Oryctolagus cuniculus: one gene and its partners. The protein of the gene in region 1 purifies or fractionates together with the protein of each later gene. This does not show direct contact. Links are inferred from orthologs where the notes say so. Each region holds a gene or a part of one and is shown in the gene's direction. Other genes may lie near its edges.

Region 1 (6,012 bases):
GGGCCACAGCAGAGAGCTGGACTGGAAGAGGAGCAACCGGGACTAGAACCTGGAGCCCATATGGCATGCCAGTACCGCAGGCAGAGGATTAACCAAGTGAGCCCCGGCACTGACCCTGACCAGTAGCGATAGTTTTGATATCCTACTACGGACAGGTAAAAGGTTGTCCTTGAGGGAAACTGAGTGTGGGGTACACGGGACTCTTTTTATATGGCTTCTGTAATCTCCTGTAAGTCTATAATTCTTTTTTTTTTAAAGAAAGATTTATTTATTTATTTGAAAGTCAGATTTACACACAGAGAGAAGGAGAGGCAGAGAGAGAGAGAGAGAGAGAGAGAGAGAGGTCTTCTATCCGCTGGTTCACTCCCCAGATGGCTGCAATGGCCAGAGCTGGCTGATCTGAAGCCAGGAGCCAGGAGCTTCTTCCGGGTCTCCCACGTGGGTGCAGGGGCCCAAGGACTTGGGTCATCTTCTACTGCTTTCCCAGGCCACAGCAGAGAGCTGGATCGGAAGTGGAACAGTTGGGACTCGAACCGGCACCCATACAGGATGCCAGCACCGCAGGTGGAGGCTTTACCTGCTACGCCACAGCACCAGCCCCTACAATTATTTCAAAACAAAAAATTTCAGAAACTGTTTAAGACCGTTGAAGCACAAATGTGTATTGAATATTGAATCAATTATATATGTATTAGATGGAACATACAGACTTGGCTTACAAGCTTATTTATTAAGTTTTTGTAATATTAAAAATATGGCCAGCGCTGCGGCTCACTAGACTAATCCTCCACCTTGCGGCGCCGGCACACCAGGTTCTAGTCCCGGTCGGGGCGCCGGATTCTGTCCCGGTTGCCCCTCTTCCAGTCCAGCTCTCTGCTGTGGCCCGGGAAGGCAGTGGAGGATGGCCCAAGTGCTTGGGCCCTGCACCCCATGGGAGACCAGGAGAAGCACCTGGCTCCTGGCATTGGATCAGTGCGATGCGCTGGCTGCAGCCCGCCGGCCGCGGCGGCCATTGGAGGGTGAACCAACGGCAAAAGGAAGACCTTTTTCTCTGTCTCTCTCTCTCACTGTCCATTCTGCCTGTCAAAAAAAAAAAAAAAATTAATACCAACCTGATGTACAACCTTAGGGGATCGCTTCAGAGAAGAGAGGTGCCATCCACACAAGGGCAGAAAACACCACGGAGAAAGAAATGTGCTCATTGTTTCAGGACTTTTTTTTAGCATAATCTTGGTGAGTGAGGGGCAGGCACCCGGGGCTGCGGGAAGACCACGTGATTGGCCTGCATCCACTGCTGGAGGGTCTGGGTTCAAGTCCTGCTCAGCTCCAGCCCCGGCTTCCTGCTGGCCGGCAGCCGTGATGGTGCCAAGAACCTGGTCCCTGCCACCCACCTGGGAGACCTGGATGGCGCTCCAGGCCCCCGGCCTCAGCCTGGAACAACCCTGGCTTTTGAGGGCATTGAGGGAGTGAACCAGCCAGTCTGTCCCTCTCTCTCTTGCTCTCTCTCACACTACCTTTCAAATAAATTTAAAAATTCAATTAAAAAAACTTTTTAAAGAAAATCAAACCATATCATCAAGCCTAAAAGAACCTTCCCCAAAATATTGGAAGTGATTATCTCAGGGAAGTGAGATTGAAGGTGAACTTTTATCTTCGCTTTGGTTACCAGTGGGTTTTCCCTGCTCTGCAATGCAATTTTTATTTTTTTTATTTGAAAGGCAGAGAGGCCTCCCATCTCCCTGGTTCTCTCCTGGGCTGCAGCCGGACCAGGCAGAAGCCAGGAGCCGGGCATCCAGGTGGGCGGCGGGGACCCGGTGCAGGACCACCCCCTGCGGCCTCCTGGGCGAGCGGCGTTTGAAAGCGGGATGAGCAGACAGTATCTAGCAGGAGCAGATGCACGGTGTGCCGCAGTCAGGAACGGGGTGGCCGCCGCCACTAGTACGCAGCTGCGTGGCTTTTCCAAGACCTCGGCGGAGACAGCGCCGCGGCCTCGCAGAAGTGCCTGCCCGCAGGCTCCGCCCCCTTCCCTGCACTCGCACCCGCCCCTCCCCGGGCCCCTCCCCTGCCCGCGTCGTACCCTTGATCCCGCCCCCCGGCCGTGCGTCCACCGGAAGTGCCCGCGCGCGGGCAGCTCACTTCCGCCCGGCAGGTGACAGCCGCGGGGCTCGGAGCAGCCGGCGGCACGGACGCACCGGCAGGGTGGGAGGAGGAGCAGGAGGCCGCGGACATTTTGCTGCCGAGCCGAACCGAGCCGTGGCTCCAGGAGCCGTTCGGACTTGCCGGTGAGGAAGCAGGGGGCGCCGCGAGGTAGCAGAAGGAGCGGCGTGGGGGCGTCGGGGGGTCTGAGGTGAGGGGTTTGTGGGGGTCAGAGGTCACGGGGAGGACGCGGCGCCGTGGGCGCGCGGCGGCGTCCCGGGGCCGGACGGGGCGGAAGGACTCGGGTTCATTCATTCGCGCCCGCTTGGCCGCCGGCCCGGACCGCGGGCGCCCCGTGTCCGTAGGCGCTCTCGGGGCGCCCGCCCGGAGACTCCCGGACCTTAGGCCCCGAGACTCCCGTCTCTGGCCGGGTGGGGGAAGCTCCTCTGCGGGCTCTGGTTTCCCTTTTCACCGTTACCCCCGTGGTCATCCCGAGGCCTCGTCGGCGTCCAGGGCCGAGGTTCAGAAAGGAAAAATTAAAGTTAGAAAAGAAAAAACCAGCCTTGTGCCGCCCGGGTGGACTTGGGCTTGGTCTGTCCGTTGGCGCTCCGGGGACGAGTGGACGGCATGGGGACGTCTGAAAACAATGCTAAGAGATACTGAGGACCCCCTGCTGAGTCTTGAGCTCCTACTGTGTGTGCGCAGCTGTGCCGAGCGCTTTACGTACAGTGCACATCGAGTCCTTTGCCAGGGCGCTGGTGTTTCGTCCCCCTTTTATCCAGGGAGGTCAGATCACGCATGGAAGGCCAGTTGGGCAGGAGGGGCAGAGCCAGGGTTCCTGCTTAGGCGTTCGGGGCCTCAAAGTACAGAGACCATGGAGAGAGGGGCGCCGTGATCGGGCGTGAGGGGCTGGTTCATATTTTTAGGGGCGTGGGTCAGGGTCAAGACGTGCCCTTATTGCCTGATCTTTCCTAAGGGGCATTTGGTTTGCTTTCTTCACCGTGAGGCAGCCGGGCAGGCTGTTGTAAGTGATCTTGCAGGGGCACGCGTTGAAGGTTTTCCTGACTGTTGGGAACTGTGAGACCCCGAACGGGTTATCCGTGAAGCCGATGGTTCGGATCTCTTGAGAAGTAGCTCAAGAACTGCTTTCCTTTTGGAATAAAGAGGGCACCCAGATGACCATCAGGGGGTCTTGGGTGTGGAAGCGTGTACCCAGAGGGAAGTCTTCGCCCCTCTGAGAAGTGTGCAGAGCCCACGTGGTCCTGCCTGGGAGAGGAGACGCTTGGTGGCCGAGGGTCAGGCTCTGTGTCTGAGCTTTCTTCCAGATAGTGACCACTGCACTTCCGCCTCAGTTTCCCAGACAGCAGCGTGAGAAAGACCTGCTGCCTTCCTACCCTCTCCTGGTGTCTTTTTTTTTTTTTTTTTAAGATTTATTTTAGGAGCTGACACTGTGGCGTACTGGGTAAAGCCGCTTCCTGTACTACCGGCATTCCATGTGAGTGCTAGTTTGAGTTTTGGCCGCACCATTTCTGATCCAGCTCTCTGCTATGGCCTGAGAAAGAAGTGGAAGATGGCCCAAGTCCTTGGACCCTTGCAACCTGTGTGGGAGACCCGGAAGAAGCTCCTGGCTGTTGTGGCCATTTGGGGAGAGAACCAGCGGATGGAAGACTTCTCACTTGCACTCTTTCTCTGCCTCTGCCTTTCAAATAAATAATTTGAAAGGCACAGTTACAGAGAGAGGGAGAAAGAGAGATCTTCCATCTACTAGCTCACTCCCCAGATGGCCACAGTGGTCAGGGTTGGGCCAGGCCGAAGCTAGGAGCCAGAGTCCTCTTCCGGGTTTCCCACGTGGGTGCAGAGGCCCAAGGACTTGGGCCATCCTCCGATGCTTTCCTAGGCACAAGAGCCGGGAGCTGGATCAGAAGTGGAGCAGCAGGGACTCGAACCAGCACTCATATGGAATACCAGCTTGCGGGCTGCAGCTTCACCCGCTACGCCACAGTGCTGGCCCCTCTTAGGTGTCTTAACCGTTAATCTCCCTGTGCGGTGTCCACCTGCTTTTGAAGAAAGCTCTGATAGAGGGCTGGCGCCGTGGTTCACTTGGTTAATCCTCCACCTGTGGCGCCGGCATCCCATATGGCGCTGGGTTCTAGTCCCGGTTGCTCCTCTTTCAGTCCAGCTCTCTGCTGTGGCCTGGGACGGCAGTGGAGGACGGCCCAAGTGCTTGGGCCCTGCACCCGCATGGGAGACTGGGAGGAAGCTACTGGCTTCGGATCGGCATAGCTCCGGCCGTAGTGGCCATTTTGGGGGTGAACCAACGGAAGGAAGACCTTTCTCTCTGTCTAACTCTGTCAAAAAAAAAAAAAAAAGCTCTGATAGAAATGTTAGGGTAGTACTGGTATTCTCTTTAACTCTATGATCTGTTCTCCTAGTGCCACTGACTTCACAGAAACTTAATATTGTCACCTTATCCTCCTCCTTCCAAGGGAAGAATCGGGATAAAGTGACTTGTCACAGAAGGCGGGAACATGAGAGAGCACAGGTCATCTGTGCCCTGAGTTGAGCTCTCACCGCTCAGATGGCGTGAGGACCGGCTCCACTGGGTCTCAGGGTTGCCGAGTGTGAGAGTTGGGCAGGGGCTCCTCCCTGAGCGGCTTGAAGGTCTCCCTCAGGTCTGATGGAAAGTGCCGTCCAACCCAGTGGGTCCTGGCTTCCAGCTCCTGTGACCTGGGTGATTTACCTGGGCTGGGGCTCCTTTAACTCCGCTCTGAACTAATACTGCCCCTCTCCCTCCACCCCTGCCTTGTGTTCGGGTTCAATGAGGAAATTTGTGCAGAGCCTGTGGGTACCTTGGTCGCAGCCAGTTAACTCGCACTGGGGCCTGTGACTGCGGACGTCTGGGCGTTACTTCCCTCTGCAGACAGAGGCCTCTCTGTCTTCAGAACGTCTCCCACCCTTTTTGTTTCATTTCCTAAAAGTGTTTCAGAACTGCTTGGTCTGTTGGTCCTGCTGGCCCTGGCCTTGGACTTTGATCGTTCTCCAGCTGTCCTCTGAAACTAGCGCTTGTCTTAACTGCTGGCTTCCCAGAAAACCCCCAGCTCAGCAGGCCTTCAGGGAGCTGGGGTGTGTTTCTCAAAGTTGAGCTGTCATCTGTTCCTTGAAGAATTTGCTTTTTCCGGGCGGGCCTAAGATAGGTCAGTGATGTTATCACAGTCCAGAAATGATTTTCCTGTTCTTTATCTCTTCACATAGAGAGGAACAAATACCCCAGAAAGAAAAATGTCACCCAAGCAATTGGAATCCTTTATAGAAAAAATTCTCTGGCCGGCGCTGTGGTTCACTAGGCTAATCCTCTGCCTGCAGCGCCGGCACTCCAGGTTCTAGTCCCGGTTGCTCCTCTTCCAGTCCAGCTCTGCTGTGGCCCGAAAAGGCAGTGGAGGATGGTCCAAGTCCTTGGGCCCTGCACCTGCATGGGAGACCAGGAGGAAGCTCCTGGCTCCTGGCTTTGGATCAGTGCAGTACGCCGGCCATAGCAGCCATCTGGGGGTGAACCAATGGAAAAGGAAGACCTTTCTCTCTCTCTCTCACTCTCTCACTGTCTAACTCTGCCTGTCAAATAAAAAAAAAAAAAAAATCTCACTTTGGAATCCATCATTGTTCTGAGACTAAAACTCGGGTTCCTCAGCACAGCATTCAAGGCGTTTTGGGCTCTGACCCTGCCTTCCCCGTCTCCCCCCACGCCTCCACCACTTCCCAAGCTCCGGTCCAGCTCAGCTTTGTGCCCCTTCTGTGAGCCCCAACTCTACACTTCGCTGTCTTCAGTTTGAGCTCTTCTTTTTTTTTTTTTTTTTCCTTAAAGATTTATTTATTTATTTG
Region 2 (5,080 bases), on another chromosome or scaffold:
GGTAAGGCTGCAGGGTTCCCTAGCCTGCCTTTGGACAGAAGTGAAAAAATGGGACAGGAACACTAGCTCCAAGGAGAAGGGCAGGGCACACACACACACACACACCCCGCCCCGCACCCACCCCCACATGCACATGCACACACAGCAGACTCTCCCTGCCCCGCCCCCAGGCATCCTGCTGACCACCATGACGCTGATCACCGAGCTCTGTGAACAAAGTCCTGCAGCCCTCAGGCACTTCCGAAAGGTGGGCAGGTGCAGGGGCAGCTGGGGAGGAGTGGACCTCTGGTTTGGAGAATTAAGAAGGCCCAGGCAGGGCGGTGCCCTCCCTCCAGGTGGTGCCCCAACTGGTGCAGATCCTCCGGACCCTCGTGACCACCGGCTACTCTGCAGAACACAGCATCGCTGGAGTCAGCGACCCCTTCCTGCAGGTGGGCCGACCTCTCCCTGCTGCCTCCTTGGAGCGGAGAGGGCTTTGCAGTAAGACCAGGGCCACTGGTCACCTCTCAGAGAACACCTGGGCTCTGGCAGTGTCCTGAGTAGGAGGACAGCAGGTGCAGGACTGCTCTGGTGGAGAGATGAGGCACAGAGAGGTCAGAACGTCCAGGTTGGTAACCATGGAAAAAGTCTACTGGATTCCACTGGCCTCGCCCACCTGTGATCCCTCCCAGGGTTCAAGGGGCCTGTGGAGGAAGGAGAGGCACGCAGAGCTCCAGGGCACGGCCAGACCCCTCACAACACTGCCCTTTGGGTCACCAGCCCCGTGCTCCTTTCTCATATCCGCCTTTCAACCTTTAACCCAACCACAGGTGCAGATACTTCGTCTGCTTCGCATTCTGGGCCGGAGCCACGAGGAGAGCAGCGAGGCCATGAATGACTTGCTGGCCCAGGTGGGGCGCTGGGGAGGGGCATGGGTCAGCTATGCTGCTGTGTTACCCCAGCCCTGTGCACCCCTCGCCTGACCTTGCCCTCCCCGTCCCCTCAAGACAGTGGGCTCCCTGCAGGAGGGCTCAATCTTTAGCGCCCAGTCTGGCCTTAGCACCTGGCGGCCACTCCTTTGGATGGCTGAGGGGTGGAGAGATGACGTGGTAGAGACCTTGCGGGGCCCCATGCAGATGGAGCTCTCCTTACTGTCCGCTCAGGTGGCCACTAACACAGACACCAGCCGCAACGCGGGCAGCGCCATCCTGTTTGAGACCGTGCTCACCATCATGGACATCCGCTCTGCAGCCGGCCTGCGGGTATCGGCCTGTCCCACTGTGGCCCGCCTACTGCCCCCCGGCCAGGCACTCGGGTCCTGTTCACTGGTCTCTCCTTCCTACCCCGTCATCCTGTGCCCCGGGGTCCCTGCCCCTGAATGAGCGGGTTGCTCCTCCCCTGACCGCCGCCTCCCTTAGGTCCTAGCTGTCAACATTCTTGGCCGCTTCCTGCTCAACAGTGACAAGAACATTAGGTAACAGACCCAGGTGTCTGGCTGGGCTGTGCCACCGTGTCCTCCAGAGCCCCCTCATCCACCTCCCTCTCACCGGGGCTGCGGGCTGATGGCCATGGCATGATAGAGCCTCCCCGCCCCCCACCCCCCACCCCGAGCAGGTATGTGGCCCTGACATCGCTGCTGCGGCTGGTGCAGTCCGACCACGGGGCCGTGCAGCGGCACCGGCCCACGGTGGTGGAGTGTCTGCAGGAAACCGACGCCTCCCTCAGCCGGTGAGCGGAGAGCAAGGGTTCACCAGGGCAGCAGGGGAGAGGGCCCAGAGCAACTCAGAGCACCTGCAGCAAGGGCATTACAGGGACAGCTGCCTGGAGCAGGGGAGGGTCCGCTTAGGCACTTGTCTTTTTCCCTCCAGGCGGGCCCTGGAGCTGAGCTTGGCCCTGGTGAATAGCTCAAATGTGCGAGCCATGATTCGGGAGCTGCAGGCCTTCCTGGAGTACTGCCCGCCTGACCTCCGGGCTGACTGTGCCTCGGGCATCCTGCTGGCTGCGGAAAGGTGAGGCGACAAGTGCAGGGAAGCAGAGCGGGGCGAGTCTCGGCAGGGTCAGCCCTGATGAGCCATGTCCCCCAGGTTCGCTCCAAGCAAACGGTGGCACATAGACACCATCCTGCACGTGCTGACAACGGTGAGGTGGGGGCTGGCCAGGGAGCGGGGAGGAGTGGGCAGAGCTGAGCATAGTGACCTGGCTGTGTCCTCCCACCCCTCCAGGTAGGCACCCATGTGCGGGATGACGCAGTGGCCAACCTGATCCAGCTGATTGGGGGGGCCCGGGAGTTACACGCCTACTCAGTGTGCCGCCTCTACAGTGCCCTGGCAAATGATATCTCCCAGGTACCGATCCCATCTTCCCAGGCCCAGGGCTGCCCACCTGCTTCCTCCATCCCAATCCATGTCGCAGCTACTTGGTGCAGGAGACACCCAAGGCCAGGGCTGTTTTTTAGTGAGAACACTGGGCTTCTGTCCTGGCCTTGCTACCTACTGGCTGTGTAACCACAGATGACTAATGGGACTTTATTTAAGTTCCTTCTACCCTGCCTGTCCCCCATAGCTGCCGTGAGCATCAGATCAGATCAAAGCTCATTCTGCACGTCTTCGATGTTGCTATTCCCTTGAATGCTGAGTGATTAACCGATGCCAGCCAGCATCTGTAGTGTCCTTTTTCACCTTAAGCCCGGTGGGCCGAAACCACTACCCCTTCCTCTGGGGACCCTCTGCCACCATAGTGCGTTTAGGCCATGTAGTTATAATGCTTGGCCACCAGAGGGCAGTGGGCGCCTGGACACCAGGACAGAGCCAGCTATCAAAGTCACCTCTTCCCACCCTGCCAAGCTCCACTATCTCTGCACTACCTAGGGAGGCTGCAGAGTGTGGGACTGACCCAGACACTGACCTGTGGTGTTTCTCATCCCACACAGCAACCGCTGGTGCAGGTGGCAGCCTGGTGCATTGGGGAATTTGGGGACCTCTTATTAGAGGGAAACTGCGAGGAAACTGAACCCCTTCAGGTGAGACCTGCGTGGGGGTTCACTGGAGAGGGACAGGGTGGGCAGGGCTGGGCCCAGGCTCACTACCTCATCCACGCCCGAAGGTGGAAGAAGAGGAGGTGTTGGCACTGTTGGAAAAGGTGCTGCAGTCCCATCTGTCCCTGCCAGCCACCAGAGCCTACGCCCTCACGGCCCTCATGAAGCTCAGCACCCGGTTCCGCGGGGACAACAAGTGAGGAGGGGGCCGAGCCCTTGAGACTCCCTTCGCTGAGCACCCCTGCAGACACAGGCCCCACTGTTCCCCTGTCCCTAGGGCCAGCTATCCCAGGGGTCTCCTTACTCTGTGCAGCCTCTCCCGGCCCTGCCAGAGCGTGGAGCACAGGGCAGGGCTCACTGCCACTGCCACTCACGTGCCGCACTGTGGCGCAGCCGCATCCGCCAGGTGGTGTCCATCTACGGGAGCTGCGTGGACGTGGAGCTGCAGCAGCGGGCTGTGGAGTATAACACGCTCTTCCGGAAGTACGACCACATGAGGTGTGCCTGGCAGCCCGCTGCAGTGCGGTCTTACTCGGTCCAAGGGTCTCATCCTCGCCTGTGGCCTTCCCCATCCACGTGGGAGCCCCCCCGAGGCTCTCCGATGCTGTGCTGGCTTCCAGCCCTCCGGGCTCACGTGAAACCCAGCAACAGCGCGCTGTCTCAGGAACTCACAAAGGCCCCTCTGACCCGCCCTGTGCCACGGTGCCCTGTGCCACGGCCCCCACCCCCAGATGCTTCCTGTTCCACCCAGAGAGACCCACCCACCCTCCCACCTCTCAGGGCTGCCATTCTTGAAAGGATGCCTCTGGTGGAGCGAGGCGGCACTCGGGTTGAAGAGGAAGAAAAGGAAAGCAACAAGGCTGCCCAGCTTTCGGAAGCCGCGGCCCCTGTCCCCGCAGAGCCCCAGGTGAGGGAGGCAGAAACCCTGGGATGAGGCGGCCTGGGTGGAGCCTCCACACCCAGCCCTGAGCCTTCCGTCCTTGGCCCAGGCCTCCAAGCTCTTGGATCTGCTGCACCTCCTGGACGGCTCTTCTGGGGAGGCCCCATGCCCGCCTCCTCAGGATCCCCCCCCTGGAGGCACCTTAGTACACCTCCTCGACCTTCCCTGTGCACCTGCACCCCCAGGTGAGCTGCAGCAGAGGGAAGACGCCTCAGAGAAGGCTGCTCCTGGTCCTGAGCCAGGGACCGAGGCTCGTCACCCTTCCCACGCCTGGGTCCCCCAGCCCCTTCCCAGCAGGGGGAGGGGTCACTCTATCACGCCTCTCTTTTGTCTTTTTACCTTGGCCTGTGGGCCCCGCCCATCTCATGCCACAACCCCCATCACTACTCCACTGGCCCTCACTCCTCAAACGCTCCCTGGCCATGCGCTTGGTGACTCAAGTTCTTTTTATATGGGGTGTTCTTTCCTCAGCACTTCAGACCGGCTCAGTCCTCAGCTCAATGCCGGCTGCCTTTCCCTGCCACTCCTCTTGCAGTCTTCCCAGTTAATCCCGGCATAATTTCACCTTCACAATACCACTTACGGCCTGTGCTGGTCTGGCTTCCTTCCTTTATTGTTTCTCCCCACCGCCCCCGAGTGTAAGCGCCAACCTCACGTTCCTGTCTACTTTGCCACTACCAGTAAGTCTCGCTGAGATGGTGCTGAATGGAGGAAAAAATGGACGAACGAACATGTTCTCAGCCTGCCCACTGAGCGGCCTCTCTCCCAACCCTAGCTGCCATCCCCGACTGCAAAGCGTTTGAGCGTGATGGGGTACAGCTGAACCTCTCTTTCATTCGACCACCTGAAACTCCTGCTTTGCTCCTGATCACCGTCACCACCACCAACTCCTCGGGGGGTGACGTCACCCATTTCACCTGCCAGGCTGCTGTGCCCAAGGTTTGTAAAGATCGGGGTTCAGACGTGGCCTGGGCACTCCAGGAGAAAAGGCCTTAAAGTAGAGGGGGTGGCTGGAGACAGACCGAGACGGGCACTCGGGGGCTGACGGGAAAGCGGTCTGGAAGCACCGTGACTGGAGGCTCTCTCCAAACCGCCTGTGCCCAGAGTTTGCAGCTGCAGCTGCAGGC
Region 3 (5,475 bases), on another chromosome or scaffold:
TATGAAAATATTTTGTAACATGCCTTTTACCAATCAGAGGTCATCTTGAGACAGCAAATATCAAAAGTTGAGCCACATAGTTGTAGAGAAGCTTAGAACTAAGAAAAGAGGATGGTAGATTTGTTTCAAAAAAAGCATGGACTGAAGACTGAGAAGGATTAAGTATACGTAAGTTCGGGGTGCTGGACTAGATACTGTGCTCAGTAGATGGCCACTGTCACAGAAACTAAGAACTTGGAGAGATTAAAAATTGTGACCAAGGACACAAGAAGAAATAAGAAAATAATGGAATTCAAGGCCTGTTTGAGACTGTAACCCATAGTCCTTTCATCAGGCCACATTGGCTTTCAATAAAATATTTCAAATGAAATCTGTTTTTAAACAGGTTAGGACTTTAGAAAACTGAGCTTTAAAAAGAAAAGGAAAATAGAACGAGACATTTGCTGTTTCTCTTCAAGTGATTTTGTAAAGCTTTCCAGATTGCTGCCTTCTCCTCACATGTGATCTCCATTTGCAGCTGTTCTTTCTGCTTTGACTCGGTGATCCTTGTACCCTCCTACTCCAAGGCTTGCAGGAAGCCAGATGATGTGGAAATTTTTCCTTGTCTCAGAGCCACTCTAATGCTGTCAACTAGCCAGAATTGTTGACGCTTAGGTTTAATCTTGAACAAGTCATGTTAAAAATTTGGGTAACAGGAAATGTTGGGATTCTTTGGCCCACCACAGCTCTTACTTTGTTGTGTTTCTAGAATTTGTTAATAAGTACAAAGTAAATCCAGATTAGAGGCCCCTGCTCAGCACTAGGTGAATTAGTTCCACTTTAGTATCTTAACTGGTCTATCTCTTCTAATATTTGAGCTGAGTTTTGGACAAGCTGCAACTTGGCCTTTTTAATTCAAGTGATTATTTTTAAAAAGACACATACTTGTGGTTTTCTTCTGGGTTTTTAGGATGGCATTGTGATGTTTATAAACTGTTTATTTATACAGGGCATTATGTGACCCAAAGAGCTGTGGGAAACTTTCAAAAGATCAGTTTGCCTTGGCTTTTCACTTAATCAATCAAAAGTTAATAAAAGGCATTGATCCTCCTCTCATTCTCACTCCTGAGATGATTCCACCATCAGATAGGACGAGTTTACAAAAGGTAAGACAACTTAAAAACAAAAAACAAAACAAAAACCCTGAAGCATTAACACAAAGTTGCAAGTACCATGTCAGATGGCAGATTGTATTCAGATAAAACACTGGAGAATAAGTATCTGGGCAGGAGCAGAGCAGTGTAATGTTTGTGCTTATTTTGTACCTCTAGATATGCTTGAGTGCCTTGTATAACATCTTTGACCTGCAACTGTTTATTCCCACCACTCATTACACATCCAACAATTATATTTTCTAATCTTAAAATTGGAAAAATATGGCTTTATTTTTCCTCCCTGGATTTGTGATTTATTTTTAATTAATATAGTATAAATGTTAAGTAACAGGTACAAGAATTAAATTACTATTTCATCTAATGATTTACTCTTATAGAAAAAAGGGTATAAATTAAATTTGAAAACAAAGTCTAGGAGATGACGATTACTTGGTATCAGTTTTACATCAAAAAAGTACCTAAGGAAAACCTTATATTGAGACTAAATCTATAGGTTTTGTGGTGTCCCCCCCCCCCCCATAGATGATTCTTTATTCCTGAGTCTATAGGTGACTATCTGAATAGCCAGGAGCAAATTTTAGCTACATTTCCTTTCTGAGTAGCAGTGGGAATGTTCATAATTGTTGTTTTAGCCACGTTGTGCCTTGATTTTTCTCTCCTCAGCCAGAAACCTTTTGGGGAATAATGCATTCACAGGATCTTTAAAATGACTAGCATAATATAGTACCTATTTGTCTTTTTTTTTCTTTTTTTTTTTTAAATTTTTTGACAGGCAGAGTGGACAATGAGAGAGAGAGACAGAGACAAAGGTCTTCCTTTGCCGTTGGTTCACCCTCCAATGGCCGCCACGGCTGGCGCGCTGCGGCCAGCGCACCGCGCTGATCCAAAGGCAGGAGCCAGGTGCTTATCCTGGTCTCCCATGGGGTGCAGGGCCCAAGGACTTGAGCCATCCTCCACTGCACTGCCGGGCCACAGCAGAGAGCTGGTCTGGAAGAGAGGCAACCGGGACAGAATCCGGCGCCCCGACCGGGACTAGAACCCGGTGGCCGGCGCCACAAGGCAGAGGATTAGCCTATTGAGCTGCGGCGCTGGCCATACCTATTTGTCTTTAAAAATAATTCTTGATGATTCTTCAGGGCTGTGTATTATAGGAGCTGTCAAATGTCTGGTTTGAGGAGAGGTCCATCTCCAAACCAATAGGATATTTTGGTTTCATGTTAATTTTTTCAGATGGATTTTTTAAAATCCCACTTAAACAACCTAATAAAAGTAAAAATTCCTGAGGGGTAAGTGTTTGGCTCAACTGTTGGTATACCTGCATCCTGTATTGAAATGACTGGTTTGAGTCCTGCCTGTTCTGCTTCCCATCCAGCTTCCTGCTGGTGCACATCCTGAGAGACAGCAAGTAATGCCTCAGATACTTGAGTCCCTGCCACTTTTGTGGGAGACCTAGACTGAGTTCCAGGCTCCTGGCTTTGCCCCAGCCTACCCCATGCAAATGTGGGCATTTGGAGAATGACCAATAGATAGAAGAGCTGTCTTTCTCCCCGTCTGTGTCTTTCAAGTAAAGTGAAAATAAATAAATAGCAATTTAAGAAAACAAGGCAAAATTGGATGTTTTCCCTAAGTAAACTGAATGGAATTTATAATACTCATTATAGAGTGTTACTTATTGGAATTTTGCTCTTTATTTTTTTTTAATTAATTAAAAAGCCAGACAGAGTACCTATCTACTTGTTGACTCCCCCCAGTTCCCACAGTGGCCGAGGCTGAACCAGAGCCAGGCTTGATCCAGGTGTTGCGAACGCAAGCTAGAGCTTTCACATGGGTAGCAGTAACCCAATTATTTGAGGTATTACTGGTTCCTCCCAGGGCTGCATTAGTAGGAACATGGAATCAGGAGTGGAGCCAAGAACTAAACCCAGGCCCTCTGGTATGGGGCATCTTAACAGCTAGGCTAAATGCCCACTCCCTGCCTTTATTCTTTTTTTTTTTAAGTTTTTATTTTTTATTTGAGAGTTAAGAGTTAAAGACAGTGAGAGGGAGAGACAGAGAGAAAGGTCTTCCTTCTGTTGGTTCACTCCCCAAATGGCCACAAAGGCTGGAGTCGTGCCGATCTGAAGCCAGGAGCCAGGAGTTTCTTCCTGGTCTCCCACTGTGGGTGCAGGAGCCCAAGGACTTGGGCCATCTTCTACTGCTTTCCCAGGCCCTAGCAGAGAGCTGGACTGGAAGAGGAGCAACCGGGACTAGAACTGGCACCCACATGGGATGCAGGCGTTACAGGCGGAGGATTAACCTACTGTGCCACGGCGCCAGCCCCTCTCCTTATTCTTAATAAAATAAATACCCGATTATCTGCTTTGTGAGATATTCAAGAGGGAGGAATGTTTTGTGATTATTTTTGGGTTCCTTGTGATGTACGACATAGGTTCCATAAATTGCAGAGAAGGCTTAAGTGATGTTACCGGGAAGATAAAAGTTACTGAATTTGTATTTATGCTCTCTGTAACTGTATCTCAGTTATGGCATAATTTTTTTCTAATAGGCAGAGTTAGACAGTGAGAGAGAGAGAGAGATGGAGAGAAAGGTCTTCCTTCCGTTGGTTCATCCCCCAAATGGCCGCTATGGCCGGTGCGCTGCAGCCAGTGCACTGCGCTGATCTGAAGCCAGGAGCCAGGTGCTTCCTCCTGGTCTCCCATGCGTATGCAGGGCCCAAGCACCTGGGCCATCCTCCAGTGCCCCATCCAGGACTAGAACCCGGTGCCGACACCACAGGCGGAGGATTAGCCAAGTGAGCCGCAGCACCGGCCAGGCATAATGTTTTGTTTTGTCTTTTGTTTCACTGATCTGGACTGTTTTTTTCTTACTGTTTGCGTTTTATAACCTTTTGTCTCCAACCAACACAAATTACAGATATAAAACAGCTTTCTAAAGCAAATTATTTTTGTTCATTGAAGGCTCTCTAATAATAGTAGGTACTTGAAGTTATAACTGGAAAGCAAAATGTTTATTTAGTAGATTTCTCTGAGGTCTGTTCAGTAGAGCATAGACATTGCAGATATCAGTATTGTTCATTGAGGTAGAGTTTCATCACTGATGTCTTATCTATTAACCAAAAATTATAACTTTAAAAAACTAAAATTTGCATTTGTCTTACCTTACAGATAATTGCTTTTCTCTTTGTAACCTGATTTTTTAAAAATATTGCACTTTTTGCAGCTTTGACTAATCCTTTTCCAAATGTTGCTTTCCTTTCTGTGTTTTTTTCTAGTTTGGACTGTTTTTTCCATTCTGCAACACTGCTTCTCGCCTTTCTTGTACTGTCAGTTTCTTAACTCTACTCTATCAAGGTTAGACTTTTATTTTTTGCCTCTTTTTTAGCATTGTGTTTTTTGGTTTACGTGATACATTTTGAAATTAGAGGTGTTTTTTTTTTTTTTTAATGCATTAAAGTTGGTGAAGAGAAAATACCTGCACAGCATGCTTTTGTCACATGTCACTTGGTCCTTGTGTGCGTATTAGCTTGCCTTCACTTGGCTCTCTGACCCACTTAAAATCACCAAAATGGAATTTTTGTATAATGCACAAAACAGGGTGAGAGAAGATATTTTGAAAGAAGGGTATGTGCTCTATTTTTCTTTGTATACTCTTCATTTGCTGCATAAAATATGTGCTGAATTTTTTTCCATGCTTCCTTGATGCATGTCATTTTAGAGTCATTGGGGGTATCACTTTCTAACTGATTTGAGGTTAAACTAATTTGTCTCGCTTTGTCTTCTTTGATGCTGTTTTTCATAGCAAAAGACTCAGATGTGAGTCACTCTTTGAGTTACAGTGATGGAAGAGGTATAAAAGTCATGAGTTTTTTGGTACACTTGTACCTCTGAGAGCAAATTTCTCAGTAGCAATATAAGTGATGTAAGTTCCTTTTGGTGATAGAAGTATGAGACCAAGTACTAATTTTTCATTTTGTTTACCTCTCTAGCTATCTGGCCAAGCTTAGCTTATAGGTCAAATTTAGATAGAGTTATTTTTACTAATCTAACCCAAGTGAATAAATAATTTATATTCAAAAATCCACATTAAAACATCTAGTTTAATTTAGCATTGAAAGGGGACTCTGTATCAACAGAACACAGTAGAACAATTAACAAGTGTTTTTGGTAAAGATTTGTAATTAATGTAAAATTGAGAGTAGAATTAACTGAATCCTTATACGTGAGTTTAGATATTGATAGTCAAAACAGCTCCCTGCTGAAAATACAATGTGGCATAAAAAAATAGAAGGAATTATTTGCTAAGTCTCATTGATGTGTACCTG
Region 4 (6,156 bases), on another chromosome or scaffold:
ACAGACAGAGAGATCCTCCCTCTGCTGGTTCTCTCCCCCAAATGGCCACAACAGCCAGGGCTGGGCCAAGCTGAAGCCAGGAGCCAGGAGCTCCATCCGGGTCTCCCACGTGGGTGGCAGGGGCCCAGAGACTCGAGCCATCACCTGCTGGTTTCCCAGGCGCATCAGCCGGAAGCTGAGCCGGGATTGCCACCCAGGCCCGCTGCTGTGGGATGCAGGGGGTCGCAGGCCGCGTCTTCATGCTGCCCCAACACCCGCGCAGGAGTGAGGAATTCAATTGGCTGCCTCTCACCTGACTCTGTCAGCGCCCCCCCCCCCCCAGAGCTGATGAAGGTCTGGGGCTGAGTTTGGGGACAGGGAGATGTGGCTGGGCAGCAGGGGGTCACCCCTGGGGGCCTGCAGGCCCTCCTCCTCCATCAGTGGAGCCAGGGGAGTTTGGGCCAAGCTGAGATTTGCCCCCTCCCCAAACGGCCCTTCAGTTGAAACCACAGGAAGCCGTGGGGCTAAGCCATTGGTGTCATGGTGGCTGGAGTACCAGAGCGTGCCTGGAGCCGAGGCCCTGTGCCAGGCAGTCTGAGCAGGGAGCACATGGCGGTTGTACCCATTAAACAGAAAGAGAGACTGAGGCACAGGAAGTCCAGTCACCAGCCCATGCCTCGCAGCCAATGTACGGTGCAGTAAGGACTCGAAGATGCCTGCGTCCTGCACCGGAGGGCCTGCGTTTCAGTCCCATCTCCCGCCCCTGACCCCAGCTCCCAGCACATGCGCACCCCAGGAGGCAGCAGGTGACAGCGGCTCAAGTACCTGAGCCCCTGCTGTCCACATGGGAGACCTGGAGTGAGTTCTTAGCTTCTAACTCTGCCCCAGTCTAGTTCTGGTGCATGAGGGCCTGTGGGGAGAGGACCTGTGGATGGGAGTGTGCGCTCTCTCTCTCTCTCTCTCTCTTTTTTTTTTTGATAGGCAGAGTTAGACAGTGAGAGAGAGACAGAGAGAAAGGTCTTCCTTCCATTGGTTCACCCCCCAAATGGCTGCTACGGCCGGCGCTGCGCCTACCTGAAGCCAGGAGCCAAGAGCTCCATCCAGGTCTCCCACATGGGCGGCAGGAACCCAAGCGCTTGGGCCATCTTCCGCTGCCTTCCCAAGGGCATTAGCAGGGAGCTGGGTTGGAAGTGGAGCAGCCGGGGACTTGAACTGGAGCTCATCCGGGATGCCGGCGTCACAGTGGGTGGCTCAAACCACTGCACCGCAATGCCAGCCCCTCTCTGTCTGCGCCTCTTGAACACATCAATTAATGACAACTCAGATTGACTCGTGATCGCTGGTGTACGGGGCCCCTGTGACCCTCCCAGGGCGCCTGGGATGTGCGAGATTAGAGTCCTCGGTGTTCGCTTTTGGTTTTTCCGTTGCACCTCTCATCTCCCCTGGAGCAAGGGTGCCGGCTTTCTCTGCCCCGCCACGCACAGCACCGAGTAATTCACCAAGTCCCTAACAAAACAGCCGCCGTGTGGCCAGTTTAGCAAACAGCAGTTGCTCAATAATGAATCCTATTGTATAATACAGTCATCGTCATAAAGGACGTGCATGGGTCTCTTAAAGATCTACTTATTTATTTGAAAGGGAGAGAGAGAGAGAGAGAGAGAGAGAGAGAGAGAGAGAGAGAGAGGTCTTCCATCCACTGCTTCACTCCCCAAATGGCTGCAATGGCCGGAGCTGGGCCGATCCAAAGCCAGGAGCCAGGAGCTTCTTCCGATCTCCGGGAGGTGGCTTAACCCCCTGGGCCATAGGGCCGGCCCCAGACTTTGTCAATATCTAGCAATACCTATTTTTGTCAATAACAAATCCGGGTAACCTGGCTGGGCAGTGTGGTGGTGCTGGGTGTGGAGCTGCCTCCTGTAACATCGGCACCCCGGATCGGAGTGCCAGCTCGGGTCTCAGCTGCTCTGCGGCTTCCAGACTGGCTCCCCGCCAGTGGCCCACGCACCTGGGCCCCTGACACCCGGCTGGGACACCCGGGTGGAGTTCCTGGCTCCTGGTGTTGGCCTGGGCCAGCGCTGACCGTGGTGACCATTTGGAGAGTGAGTCAGTGGATGGAAGATCTCTCTCTCTCTGTCACTTTCTCTTTCAAGTAAGTAAATAAATAAACACATCTTTTTAGGAAAGAGCAACATTAGTAGCCAAACACCCTAAAGCATCTACATTTGACGTTTGCCCTTTGGCGAGCGCGGCCAGGTTCTGGCACTGAGTGGAAAACTCGCAGGGATAACATTTGCCGTCTGGACGAGGGAATTGGAGAAACGTGACGACCACACAGGGCACCTGGGCCACAAACATCACCAGGACCCTGGGCTGGCGTGGGACGCACGGCGCCTGAATGGATGGGTGAACGACTGGCGGGCTGCGCAGGTGGATATGGGGCGGGGTCCGGCCCTATAGGACCCCCGCCCGCCTGCATCGGGGTAAAGCGACCCAGGGCGGCTGTTCCTGGCGAAGCCGCCCCGCCCGCGGCCCCTCCCCGCCGTCGCCGCCTTTTGCGTCGGCCGACCGCGCCGCTCACCTGGGGGCCTCCCCTTTAAGGCGCGCTCACCTGGGCGCTCACCTGGGCGCGGGCGCTTCCGCAGGAAGGAGGAAGCCGCGCCGCCGTCGCCTCCCGGCGCTCGCTCCCCGCCTGCTGGCTCGGCCGCCCGCCCGCCCGCCACCATGTCCGCCTCGGCCGTGTTCATTCTCGACGTGAAGGGCAAGGTGAGGCCGGGCGCTCGGGCGGGCGACGGGCAGGGGCGGCCGCGGAGCGCGGCGTGGGAACTCCTCCGGCCCCCTCTCCGGCCCTGCAGCGCCTAGGGGTCGGGGGCCGCATCCCACCTCCGCCATGGGGTCCTCGCGCCCCCTCCACCCGGCCCTGCAGTCCCTGGGGGTCGGGGCTGCATCCCACCTCTGCCACGGGGTCCTCGCGCCCCCCTCCCTGGCCCTGCAGCCCCTGGGGGTCGGGGGTCACCACATCCCACCTCTGCGACGGGGTCCTCGCGCCCCCCCTCCCTGGCACTGCAGTCCCTAAGGGTCGGGGTCCCATCCCACCTCCGCCACGGGGTCCTCCTGCCCCCCCCACGCCCTGCAGTCCCTAGGGGTCGGGGGTCACATCCCACCTCCGGCACAGGGCCCTCTCGCCCCCCTCCCTGGCCCTGTAGCCCCTAGGGGTAGGGGGTCGCCGCATCCCACCTCTGCGAGGGGGTCCTCGCGCCCCCCTCCCCGGGCCCTGCAGTCCCTGGGGGTCGGGGTCGCATCCCACCTCCGCCACGGGGTCCTCCTGCCCCCCTCCCCGGGCCCTGCAGTCCCTGGGGGTCGGGGGTCGCATCCCACCTCTGCGACGGGGTCCTCCTGCCCCCCCACGCCCTGCAGTCCCTAGGGGTCGGGGGTCACATCCCACCTCCGGCACAGGGCCCTCTCGCCCCCCTCCCTGGCCCTGTAGCCCCTGGGGGTCGGGGGTCACCACATCCCACCTCTGCGACGGGCCCTCTTGCCCCCCTCCCCGGCCCTGCAGTCCCTAGGGGTCGGGGTCCCATCCCACCTCCACCACGGGGTCCTCCTGCCCCCCTCCACCCGGCCCTGCAGCCCCTAGGGGTCGGGGTCCCATCCCACCTCCACCACGGGGTCCTCGCGCCCCCTCCACCCGGCCCTGCAGCCCCTGGGGGTCGGGGTCCCATCCCACCTCCACCACGGGGTCCTCGCACCCCCCCTCCCCGGCCCTGCAGCCCCTGGGGGTCGGGGGCCGCATCCCACCTCCGCCATGGGTTAGCCCAGGCCCTGGCTTCTCCGAACCTCAGTTTCCCCGTGTGGAAAAGTGGGGACAAGAAACCCGCGGCCCAGGAGAATTGCACAAATGGGCGCATGGCAGCCGCTTGGCCCAGTAGCCCAAAGCCAGCCGCAGGCTCAGTTCAACCAGAGCCGAGTACCATCGTCCCCTCCGGGAGCGCGCGCCAGTTACTGGAAAACCGCATTCCAAGACGAGTTTGGTTTTGGTGCACTTAAAAAAAAAAAAAAAAATCCATGCATCGCTTTTTCCATAATACACATCTCCCGTGGACTCTCTGAAGGCTCCTGGTACTATGATTGATTACTGTTTGCTCCCTCCCAGGCAGAGCTGTAATGGCTCAAAGAAACACATAGGTATAGCTTTTCTTTCCTCTTTTTTTTTTTTTCCCCCTTACATAGTCCCAAACTCCCTGCTTTGGTGTAGGAAGCCCCGGGACCCCAGGCAGGGATTCTGCACCCAGGTGCACCGGTCGCAGCTCCCTTGCTTCACGTCCTTTGGATCTGGGGCTCTGGCCTCAACTTCCCCATCTACAAAATGGAGATGCTGACACCTGTCTTGCAGGATGGTGGCGGGAGTGGAATGCGTCGGCCAGCAGCCGGTCGCTGGTGGAGGGAAGGCTGGGGCTGGGCTGGGGCTGGGCTGGGCTGGGGGGGGGGGGTCTCCAGCCACCTGAGCAGCTGTTACCACGCACCCATGACGCCGAGAAGGCGGCAGAAGCTGAGACAGGCCCCACCGCTGGCCGTGACCGGTCCCCTCTGCCCGCCCGCAGCCCCTGATCAGCCGCAACTACAAGGGCGACGTGGCCATGAGCGAGATCGACCACTTCATGCCCCTGCTCATGCAGCAGGAGGAGGAGGGGTCCCTGGCCCCGCTGCTGAGCCACGGCCGGGTCCACTTCCTGTGGATCAAACACAGCAACCTCTACTGTATCCCACCCAGGCGGGGGTCCCTGGAGCCCAGGTGCTGGCTGCTCCGGCCCAGAGAGGGTGAGCAGAGGGTGGAAGTTGCACAGCATGGGTCAGGTGCGTGGGGGAGGTGGGGTCCGTTCCCGCCCTCAAAGGGTACCTTTTCCTTGACCCTTGCTGCCCCCAGTGGTGGCCACCACGTTGAAGAACGCCAACGCTTCCCTGGTATACTCCTTCCTTTATAAGACAGTGGAGGTAGGTACTGGTGTCTCATAGGCTGGCCGCCCTGTCCGTCATTTATTTTGCCCGCCCCTTTCAGGGGCCATCTCTCTCAGGAAGGCTTCCATAGGCTGGGGTATCAAAACCCCAGCCCAGCTGTGTCTCATTTGCTTGTGGGAGCAGGCACCAGGGAGGCCCCTGTGGGTGTGGGCAACTGAGCCAGAGAGCTTGGGGTCTGGTGCCAGCTGCCCTACTTCCTGGCTGTGTGACCTTGGGCGAGTCACTGCTCCTCTCTGTGCCCCTAAGCTGGGGGGGGGGGGTTATGACAAGTCTAACACCCCGCAGAGAGGGGCGGGCTCTTGGCACAGCTGTTGAGATGCCGCCGGGGCACCCACACATCAGAGTGCTGGGGTTTGAGTCCCCGCTCTGCTTCCAGTCCAGCCCTGTGCTGGTGCACACCCTGGGAGGCAGGGTGGCAGATGGGGAAGGTTCTCCTGTTGTGCACTGAGGAGAGGGCTACCCATGGCTCCTTGGTCAGCAGAGGGCCTTACCCATGGGCAGTGCGGGGCTCCAGGACTGCGGCTGCAGGGCGGGACCTGGAGGGAGCCTGAGATGGGCAAGAGTGCACTCATGGCTGCTTCTGTGTCCTGCAGCTACAACCTGTCCTGCCTACTCCCCAAGGCCCTGAGTTAGCCACCTCCCAGGCTGTGCATTCGCAGGGAGCTGGAGTTGGGGCAGAGTTGCTGGGATAAGAGGGGTCTTACCTGCTGTGCCAAATGCCCCCTCCCACTGGGGGCTCTTAACCAGTGGGCCCCAGGCCCGCAAGGGCTCGTGGGTAGGATTCTGCACAGCCATGAACTTGGGTGTTGCTGTAAAGCACAGTCCCTTTTCCATCTCCATGTGTGCATGTGTGTGAGGTGCTATTTATTTATTTGAAAGGCAGAGTGATCGATCGAGATCGATCTTCCATTGCTGGTTCCCTCCCCCAAATGGCTGCAGCAGCCAGGGCAGGGCCAGGCCAGAGCCAGGAGCCCAAAATTCCACCCAGGGCCCAAGCGCTCGGGCCGTCGTCCGCTGCTTTCCCAGGTGCATAGGCAGGGAGCTAGATAGGAAGTGGAGCAGCCCGGCTCCAGGGGTACCTGTATAGGACGCAGCCAGCACACACCCCCCCCCCCCCCCCCGTCCCTCGCCCTGTGCATTTTACGAGTCTGACCTGGGTCTCTAAGC
Region 5 (6,107 bases), on another chromosome or scaffold:
CCGGGTACCGAGCTCAATATTCGGCTCCAACTCCTGCCTCCAGCTTCCGGCTGATGCAGACCCCGGGAGACAGCAGAGATGGTGCAGGTAGCTGGGTTCCTGTCACCCACGGGGAGATCTGAACCGAATTCCTGGCTCCCCACGTCAGTAGGCCCAGTCCCAACCACCATGGGCGTTTGGGAAGCGAACTAGCAGATGGGCGCTCTCTCCCCCACCCCCGGCTCACTTGCTCGCTCTCTCTCTGTCTCTGCCTCTCAAGAAATTTTTTAAAGTAAAAAGTTATGAAACTAGAATTTAGTACCTTTGGAAGAGAAATCAGATTCAATCATCTGCCTTAGTCTGTTTGCTGCTGCTGTAACGAAACAGCTGAGATTGGATGACTTATTTATTTAAAAAAAAAAAAAAAGATTTATTTTCTGGCTGTGGAGCAGGTGCGCTCAGCGCCTGGTGATGGCCCTGGGCTGCTTGAACTTATGGCAGAAAGTAGACAGATGAGTGGGTGTGTGCAGGTAGAGAGAATGCCACGGGTGGACTCACTTACTAACCACCCACTCCCTGGATCACTAACCCAGTCCCACGAGAGTGAGAATCCACACATAAAGCACTGATTCTTCCTGAAGACCTCCCAAGTCTGCCACACGGAAGAACTGAGTTTCTAACACACGAACTTTTGGGCGACACAGACACACCCCATTGCTATCACCACCTGGATCCTAATTGAGGCTAACCAACCAGCTGCGTGCTGGCAAGAAACGGAGGCAGTCTATGACACCAGCCCAGCGGGCACTTACAGTCCAGGGGAGAGAGGAGGCCGAGTCACACGGGCAGTCAGTGGTCACCACAGCAGGGTAATAGAGTCAGCCGGGTAGAACTCTTGGTAACAGGCAGCAGAAACAAGTCTGGCTGATGGAGCGCTGTGGGGAGAGGGGCGGGCAGAGAGGGAGGCTCAGGGAACCAGGACAGCCAGAGACCCAGGTTGGAGGGGGGTCCCACACTAGCAACAACCCCCGCCTTGTGCCCGTGCCCCCACCCACCCCTTCACTGGACACCATCCCTGCCGCCCTGGACCCACTGACCCTCTGCGGGAGCCGTACCTACCCCCCATCACGTCACACCCACCTCCTTCCCCTCCTGGCCCAAAATCTAGAAAGGTGCCCCTCAAAGACGGGCAGGGCTCTGCGGTGGCGGGGGCGGGGGGTGGAGCTGGACATTTCAAAGGCTCCCTTGCGGGGGCAGTGGTTGGCCCATCTCCCCCTAGACTCACAAAGCGGGGGGACTCCCAAACTCCAAGGCGGGGGTTGAGAGCCTGAGAGGTGACACAGAATGACAAACACCCACCACCGAAAGCATCCAATTGTTCAGGGCTGTTAGAACAGCACACGGATTGCTCGGGAAGAAATAAAAGGAGTTTAAAAAAAAATAGAGATGATTGCAAATGACACTACGCACTCCCTCGTTAGTCACTTAATAGCTGTCTCGGTTATCAACTTGACGGGTGCCGCATCACGGTGCGTGCGTTCAAGTAACTCTTAATAATGGCCCCAAAAGGCAAGAGTAGTGATAAGGGCAATTTTCTCCCAGCATATTGTTATAATTTTTCCATTTCAACCTCTTACGGTGCCTTATTTATAGATTAAACTCTATCAGAGCCTTGGGTTATGGGGTGGGGGGAGACACGGTCTATCTATGCACACGGCTTCAGGTCTATCTGCAGGGGTCTCGGAGCACAGCCTAGGAGAGGAGGAGGGGTCCCGGCCACGTTGCCCATCGGGACACCACGTCACGGCCTCTCTCGGCCCTCGGACACACACACACACACACACACACACACGCGTGATGCAACTGGGTCTAAGGTATCGGAGCCTTGGGATTCTGGCCCCACTGACCCTCCGAGCCTCTATTTCTCTTTTACATTCCCTGGGGGCGCCCCTTCCTGTGTTGCATTCCTCTCGCTTCAAGAGAGGCCAGCGTCTCGAAGCTTCTCCACAGACGGCGCGCGCCCCGTCCGTCTCGCCACCCCGCCGCCCAGTTAGCCACAGCCTTTTGCCCCTTCCCACACCTAACGCCCACCCTGGGCCTCCTCACCAACTCCCAGGACCACCCCACCCACCTCGCACCCCTTTTCCCGCCTTTTGCCCCCACAAGGCCCCGAAGCGCGAGGACCACGCCGGCCTCCTCCCCCATCCTCCGAGCCAACCCACGGGGGCAGCTTGTTTCCATGACGACCGAGCTACTCGAAGCCGAAGTCGAGGACCTGGTTGCCATGGCTTCCGCTTCTCCGCCTCCAGCCCCGCCCGCGCGGCCCCCGGCGCCGGCGCATGCGCAGAGCGCCGCGCGGTGGCACTCCGGGCCTGGGCGGGACGGGGCGGGGCTTCAGCCGAGAGGGAGGGAAGAAGGCGAGAGGATAAGAAAGGGAGTGGAGCTGGCGCCTACGGTGGCCGAAGAGGGACGCGCCGAGCCGGAGGCTGCAGGATGGTAGGCTGTGCGAAGAGCGAGGGGAGGGGGAGCCGAGGAGCGTGGGCTGCACCTGCGGGGGTCCTCGGGGGCCGCCCTCGGAGTGAGCCGCTTTTTCTTCCCTCTGGTCCTCAGAGGGCCTCCCTTAGCTGGGCGAGTGGGCGAGCCGGCCTCGGAAGCCAGAGCTGGAAATGGCACTCGGGAGGGAGCGACGCGGGGAGGGGGCGCCTGTGTGGGACGGGAGGAGGCTGACTAGAGGGCGGCGGGACGGTCGGGAGCCGGGAGGCGCTCTCGGGTCTCCGGGCAAGGGGTCCCGACCTCGGCCGCAGGGAAGCCGGGCGAGGGAGAGAGGGGCGCGGGCGGCCGTGTCCGCGAGGGAGGGAGCGGGGTCACCGAGACCCTTACTCCGGGGCGGCCCGCACCTGCGCGGGGGCCGCGGGGCGCGCGCGGTGTGCGAGGGAGTAGTTTCCGGGTCCGGGAGTGCCCGTCCTGCCCCGGTTCTTGGCCATGCTTGCGGGGAGGCCGGGCCGAGGTGGGGAGGTGGAGTGGGCTCCAGGTTTTGCTCCCGGGGACCCGGGTTCTGGGCTCCCCAGATCTGGTGCTCCTCGCTGTCCAGCCCGCCCCCGTCCCACTCTCTTTCCGGCACCCAGGCCTTCCGTCTTCCTGCTCCTTCGCCGCCACCTGCTTATCTTAGCCCCACACGGATCCCCTGTCCCTGCTCCCCCTCCCCCCAAATAATCCAGTTCTCTCGAACCCTGATTCTTGCCCCTTAAGCTACTACTACTGCACACACCCAGGGGTTCCAGCTCTGGTAGCGTCCATGGGAAGACTCCAGGATGTGGCTCTGGACTCCCAGCTGGGCAGCTGGGGATGCACTTCTCACTACCCAGCTTTCTCTGGGTCCACACACGTTTCCTAGGGGAGCCACCCTGGGTGTGCAGCTCCTAACTGGAATGGGCTCCGGGTGTCTGGGGAGGCGTGGGCTGTCAGAAGCACCCACTGGGAAAGGAAAGAAAAGTTAAGAGGAGCATAGCAGGAATGCTGGATGGCTGCAGAGAGTTGGCTGAGCGTGCCAACATCAGGTGGGCTGTTGGGGGTACTGCGCTGGGCACGGGGCTGGCCCTGGGGGGCAGGGCAAGCTTGGGACATCAGTAGGCAAAGGATGGAAGATTGAGGTAGCCTCTGGAGGCACAAAACACCCAGCTTCTGCCCAGGGCAGTGTGGAAGAGGGTATCCCTGTGCTGTCAGCTGTGTGCTGCCCTAGTCACTGTAGTGTGCATTTCACTCTGGGTAACAGGGTTAGGAAGAGGAGGCCGGGGAATAACAGTGCGAATACGTAATGTGCTACAGCGCCTGCCTTGTGCCAACCACCGTCATCAGCTCCTTTGATCCCTCCTAACAACTCCGTAAGGATGTCCTTACAGTTAGGGAAACTGAGACCTGGCGGCAGAAAGTAATTTGCCAAGGCCATGCCCGACCGGTAGAGCCGGGATTTGACCCGAGCGACAGACACAGGCCGTCTGCTGATGGGAGCACCCCAGTCGACAGCAAGGGGCTGAGTAGAAAAAGGGCAGGGCTCCCTGACGGTCGGCTCCGCTTCTCCCTCCCCACCCCCAGATGCGGTTCATGCTGCTGTTCAGCCGGCAGGGAAAGCTGCGCCTGCAGAAGTGGTACCTGGCCACGTCCGACAAGGAGAGGAAGAAGATGGTGCGGGAGCTCATGCAGGTGGTTCTGGCCCGCAAGCCCAAGATGTGCAGCTTCCTGGAGTGGCGAGACCTCAAAGTCGTCTACAAGAGGTGACCCCTCCCACACACACGCACACGCACCTGCACCTGCACCTGCAGCCGGCCATACCTGGGTTCTGCTGGGCTCAGATGCTGAGACATAAGTGGTGAGGGAAGGCTGGGAGCTAAGGACCTGTGGGTGACAATGACGCATGGGCCCAAGCACTTGGGCCATCCTCCACTGCACTCCCTGGCCACAGCAGAGAGCTGGCCTGGAAGAGGGGCAACCAGGACAGAATCCGGCTCCCCGACCTAGACTAGAACCCGGTGTGCCGGCGCCGCAAGGCGGAGGATTAGCCTAGTGAGCCGCGGCGCCGGCCCCTCTACATGGTTTTGCTCAAGCCAGACACCTGCCCCATGCCCATCCCTCTGTCGCTTGCTGTAGACCCCACCTTTCTGGAACGCACCTGGCTTCTAGTCCCAGAGGCCCTGCCTCACGCTGTGCAGTGTGCACGCGCTCACACACGATTTCTGCCTCCTCCTCCTCTTCCCCTTCCTCCTCCTCCTCCTCCTCAGAGCAGGTAATTAGTTGGCTCAGGTTTTTGCTGAGTCAGTCTGAGCGGGTCAGAGGGCAAGAAGGAAACGAGCACGTGTCTTTGCTGGTTACTGAGAAGCCCTTAGTTACCCTTTGCCCTGGGGTCTCCAGCCCCGTGGTCAGCCAGAGCAGAGACCCTGGGCTGGTCGCCCCGGATGCGTGGGTGCTGAAGCCAGCTGCCAGCCAAGCCTGCTGTGCCCTCCCTCAGATACGCCAGCCTCTACTTCTGCTGCGCCATCGAGGGCCAAGACAATGAGCTCATCACGCTGGAGCTGATCCACCGGTACGTGGAGCTCCTGGACAAATACTTCGGCAGCGTAAGTCTCCCCCTGGCCCACCAATGCCAGCTTCCATGCCCAGTGGTCCCCTCTTTCTGCTCTCCCTTGAGGCCCTCCTAGTCTCTGCCCCAGAAGTCTCAGGGCAGAGGTCAAGCTGGAAGCAGTAAGAGCGGTAATTAATCCCCCTTTTTAAGCTGTAAGCCTATTAGCCGTCCCTTAATCAGCCCTCAAGCCAGGAGTGGGGGGAGAGAGGGGGTTGCGGATCTGGCGCTCGGTCACGGATGGCGCTGCTCGCTCGGACTTCTCACCCAAGGACGGCGACCAGGTTCCGATTTTATCAGCGGATCTCGTCCTTGGCTTTGCACGGAAGAGGTTTTAAAAATAGCAGTGCCCCCATCCCAGCCCCCAGAGGTTCGGGGGGGAGGGTTAGCCTGGGCATTGGCAGGCAGCTCAGATCTTTGATGGGGAGTAGCAATGACCCCGCCATCTGTGTCCCATCTCACCATTTACAAAGTGCTTTTCAAGCTCTCCCGCCTGCTCCCCAGCCTGTCCCCTACGTAGGTGTTGGGCTCCCTGTTTTCAGCTGAGACGTCCAGCTGCTGCAGCTCTGCCCGGCTGCAATGTGCGTCTTCTACCCCATGGTCCACAGTCTGCTCCTGGCCCGCCACGCCGTGCCTGGGGAGGGAGGCTGGCCCAGCCTCTGGTGGGAACAGTGTGACGGATTTTGCCAGAAGGGCAGCAGGAACTGCAGCCAGGCGTAGATGAGGACAAATGTTTCATGACCGGGCAGGAAGAGGCAAGGGGAGGGGAAGAAAAAGCCAAAGCGAGTATAAGGCCTGGGAGTTAGGAGCCCGTGAGACCTGGAAAAACCCAGGCTGGGGAGAGTGGCCGTGAGAAACCTGGGGGTGGGGGTGGGGTGTATCTACTGCGAGAATGGGGACCAGGCTTGGGGACCAGACGGTCAACATTCCAGAAAATACCAGCTTCACTCCGGAGGGACACATAGTCACGTCAGTGTAGAACAAGTCTCCTTGCTAAGAAAAGAGACTTGGGGTT

Evidence for each region.
Region 2: the proteins of AP1B1 (region 1) and AP1G2 fractionate together in Homo sapiens (co-fractionation; 3 studies listed by BioGRID and IntAct, with this or other methods). This does not show direct contact. The link is inferred for Oryctolagus cuniculus from reciprocal best matches to the Homo sapiens genes AP1B1 and AP1G2.
Region 3: the proteins of AP1B1 (region 1) and EPS15 purify together in Homo sapiens (affinity purification with mass spectrometry; 3 studies listed by BioGRID and IntAct, with this or other methods). This does not show direct contact. The link is inferred for Oryctolagus cuniculus from reciprocal best matches to the Homo sapiens genes AP1B1 and EPS15.
Region 4: the proteins of AP1B1 (region 1) and AP1M2 purify together in Homo sapiens (affinity purification with mass spectrometry; 3 studies listed by BioGRID and IntAct, counting the BioPlex papers as one, with this or other methods). This does not show direct contact. The link is inferred for Oryctolagus cuniculus from reciprocal best matches to the Homo sapiens genes AP1B1 and AP1M2.
Region 5: the proteins of AP1B1 (region 1) and AP1S1 fractionate together in Homo sapiens (co-fractionation; 6 studies listed by BioGRID and IntAct, with this or other methods). This does not show direct contact. The link is inferred for Oryctolagus cuniculus from reciprocal best matches to the Homo sapiens genes AP1B1 and AP1S1.

The regions. Positions count from the first base shown.
Region 1 is NC_091452.1:22,803,526-22,809,537, reverse strand, and holds the start of AP1B1 (AP-1 complex subunit beta-1), read left to right. Parts: upstream 1-2,105; 5' UTR 2,106-2,282; intron 2,283-6,012. UniProt on the Homo sapiens protein: Subunit of clathrin-associated adaptor protein complex 1 that plays a role in protein sorting in the late-Golgi/trans-Golgi network (TGN) and/or endosomes.
Region 2 is NC_091443.1:51,512,579-51,517,658, forward strand, and holds part of AP1G2 (AP-1 complex subunit gamma-like 2), read left to right. Parts: coding exon 1-1; intron 2-170; coding exon 171-247; intron 248-335; coding exon 336-431; intron 432-809; coding exon 810-890; intron 891-1,142; coding exon 1,143-1,241; intron 1,242-1,397; coding exon 1,398-1,453; intron 1,454-1,593; coding exon 1,594-1,707; intron 1,708-1,847; coding exon 1,848-1,988; intron 1,989-2,063; coding exon 2,064-2,118; intron 2,119-2,201; coding exon 2,202-2,324; intron 2,325-2,908; coding exon 2,909-2,998; intron 2,999-3,081; coding exon 3,082-3,209; intron 3,210-3,406; coding exon 3,407-3,511; intron 3,512-3,793; coding exon 3,794-3,920; intron 3,921-4,002; coding exon 4,003-4,138; intron 4,139-4,424; exon of another isoform or gene 4,425-4,633; intron 4,634-4,634; exon of another isoform or gene 4,635-4,728; coding exon 4,729-4,892; intron 4,893-5,057; coding exon 5,058-5,080.
Region 3 is NC_091438.1:121,502,539-121,508,013, forward strand, and holds part of EPS15 (epidermal growth factor receptor substrate 15), read left to right. Parts: intron 1-988; coding exon 989-1,145; intron 1,146-5,475. UniProt on the Homo sapiens protein: Involved in cell growth regulation. May be involved in the regulation of mitogenic signals and control of cell proliferation. Involved in the internalization of ligand-inducible receptors of the receptor tyrosine kinase (RTK) type, in particular EGFR.
Region 4 is NC_091447.1:66,903,325-66,909,480, forward strand, and holds the start of AP1M2 (AP-1 complex subunit mu-2), read left to right. Parts: upstream 1-2,580; 5' UTR 2,581-2,697; coding exon 2,698-2,739; intron 2,740-4,574; coding exon 4,575-4,731; intron 4,732-4,897; coding exon 4,898-4,965; intron 4,966-6,156. UniProt on the Homo sapiens protein: Subunit of clathrin-associated adaptor protein complex 1 that plays a role in protein sorting in the trans-Golgi network (TGN) and endosomes.
Region 5 is NC_091450.1:43,213,470-43,219,576, forward strand, and holds the start of AP1S1 (AP-1 complex subunit sigma-1A), read left to right. Parts: upstream 1-2,347; 5' UTR 2,348-2,472; coding exon 2,473-2,475; intron 2,476-4,071; coding exon 4,072-4,250; intron 4,251-4,981; coding exon 4,982-5,090; intron 5,091-6,107. UniProt on the Homo sapiens protein: Subunit of clathrin-associated adaptor protein complex 1 that plays a role in protein sorting in the late-Golgi/trans-Golgi network (TGN) and/or endosomes.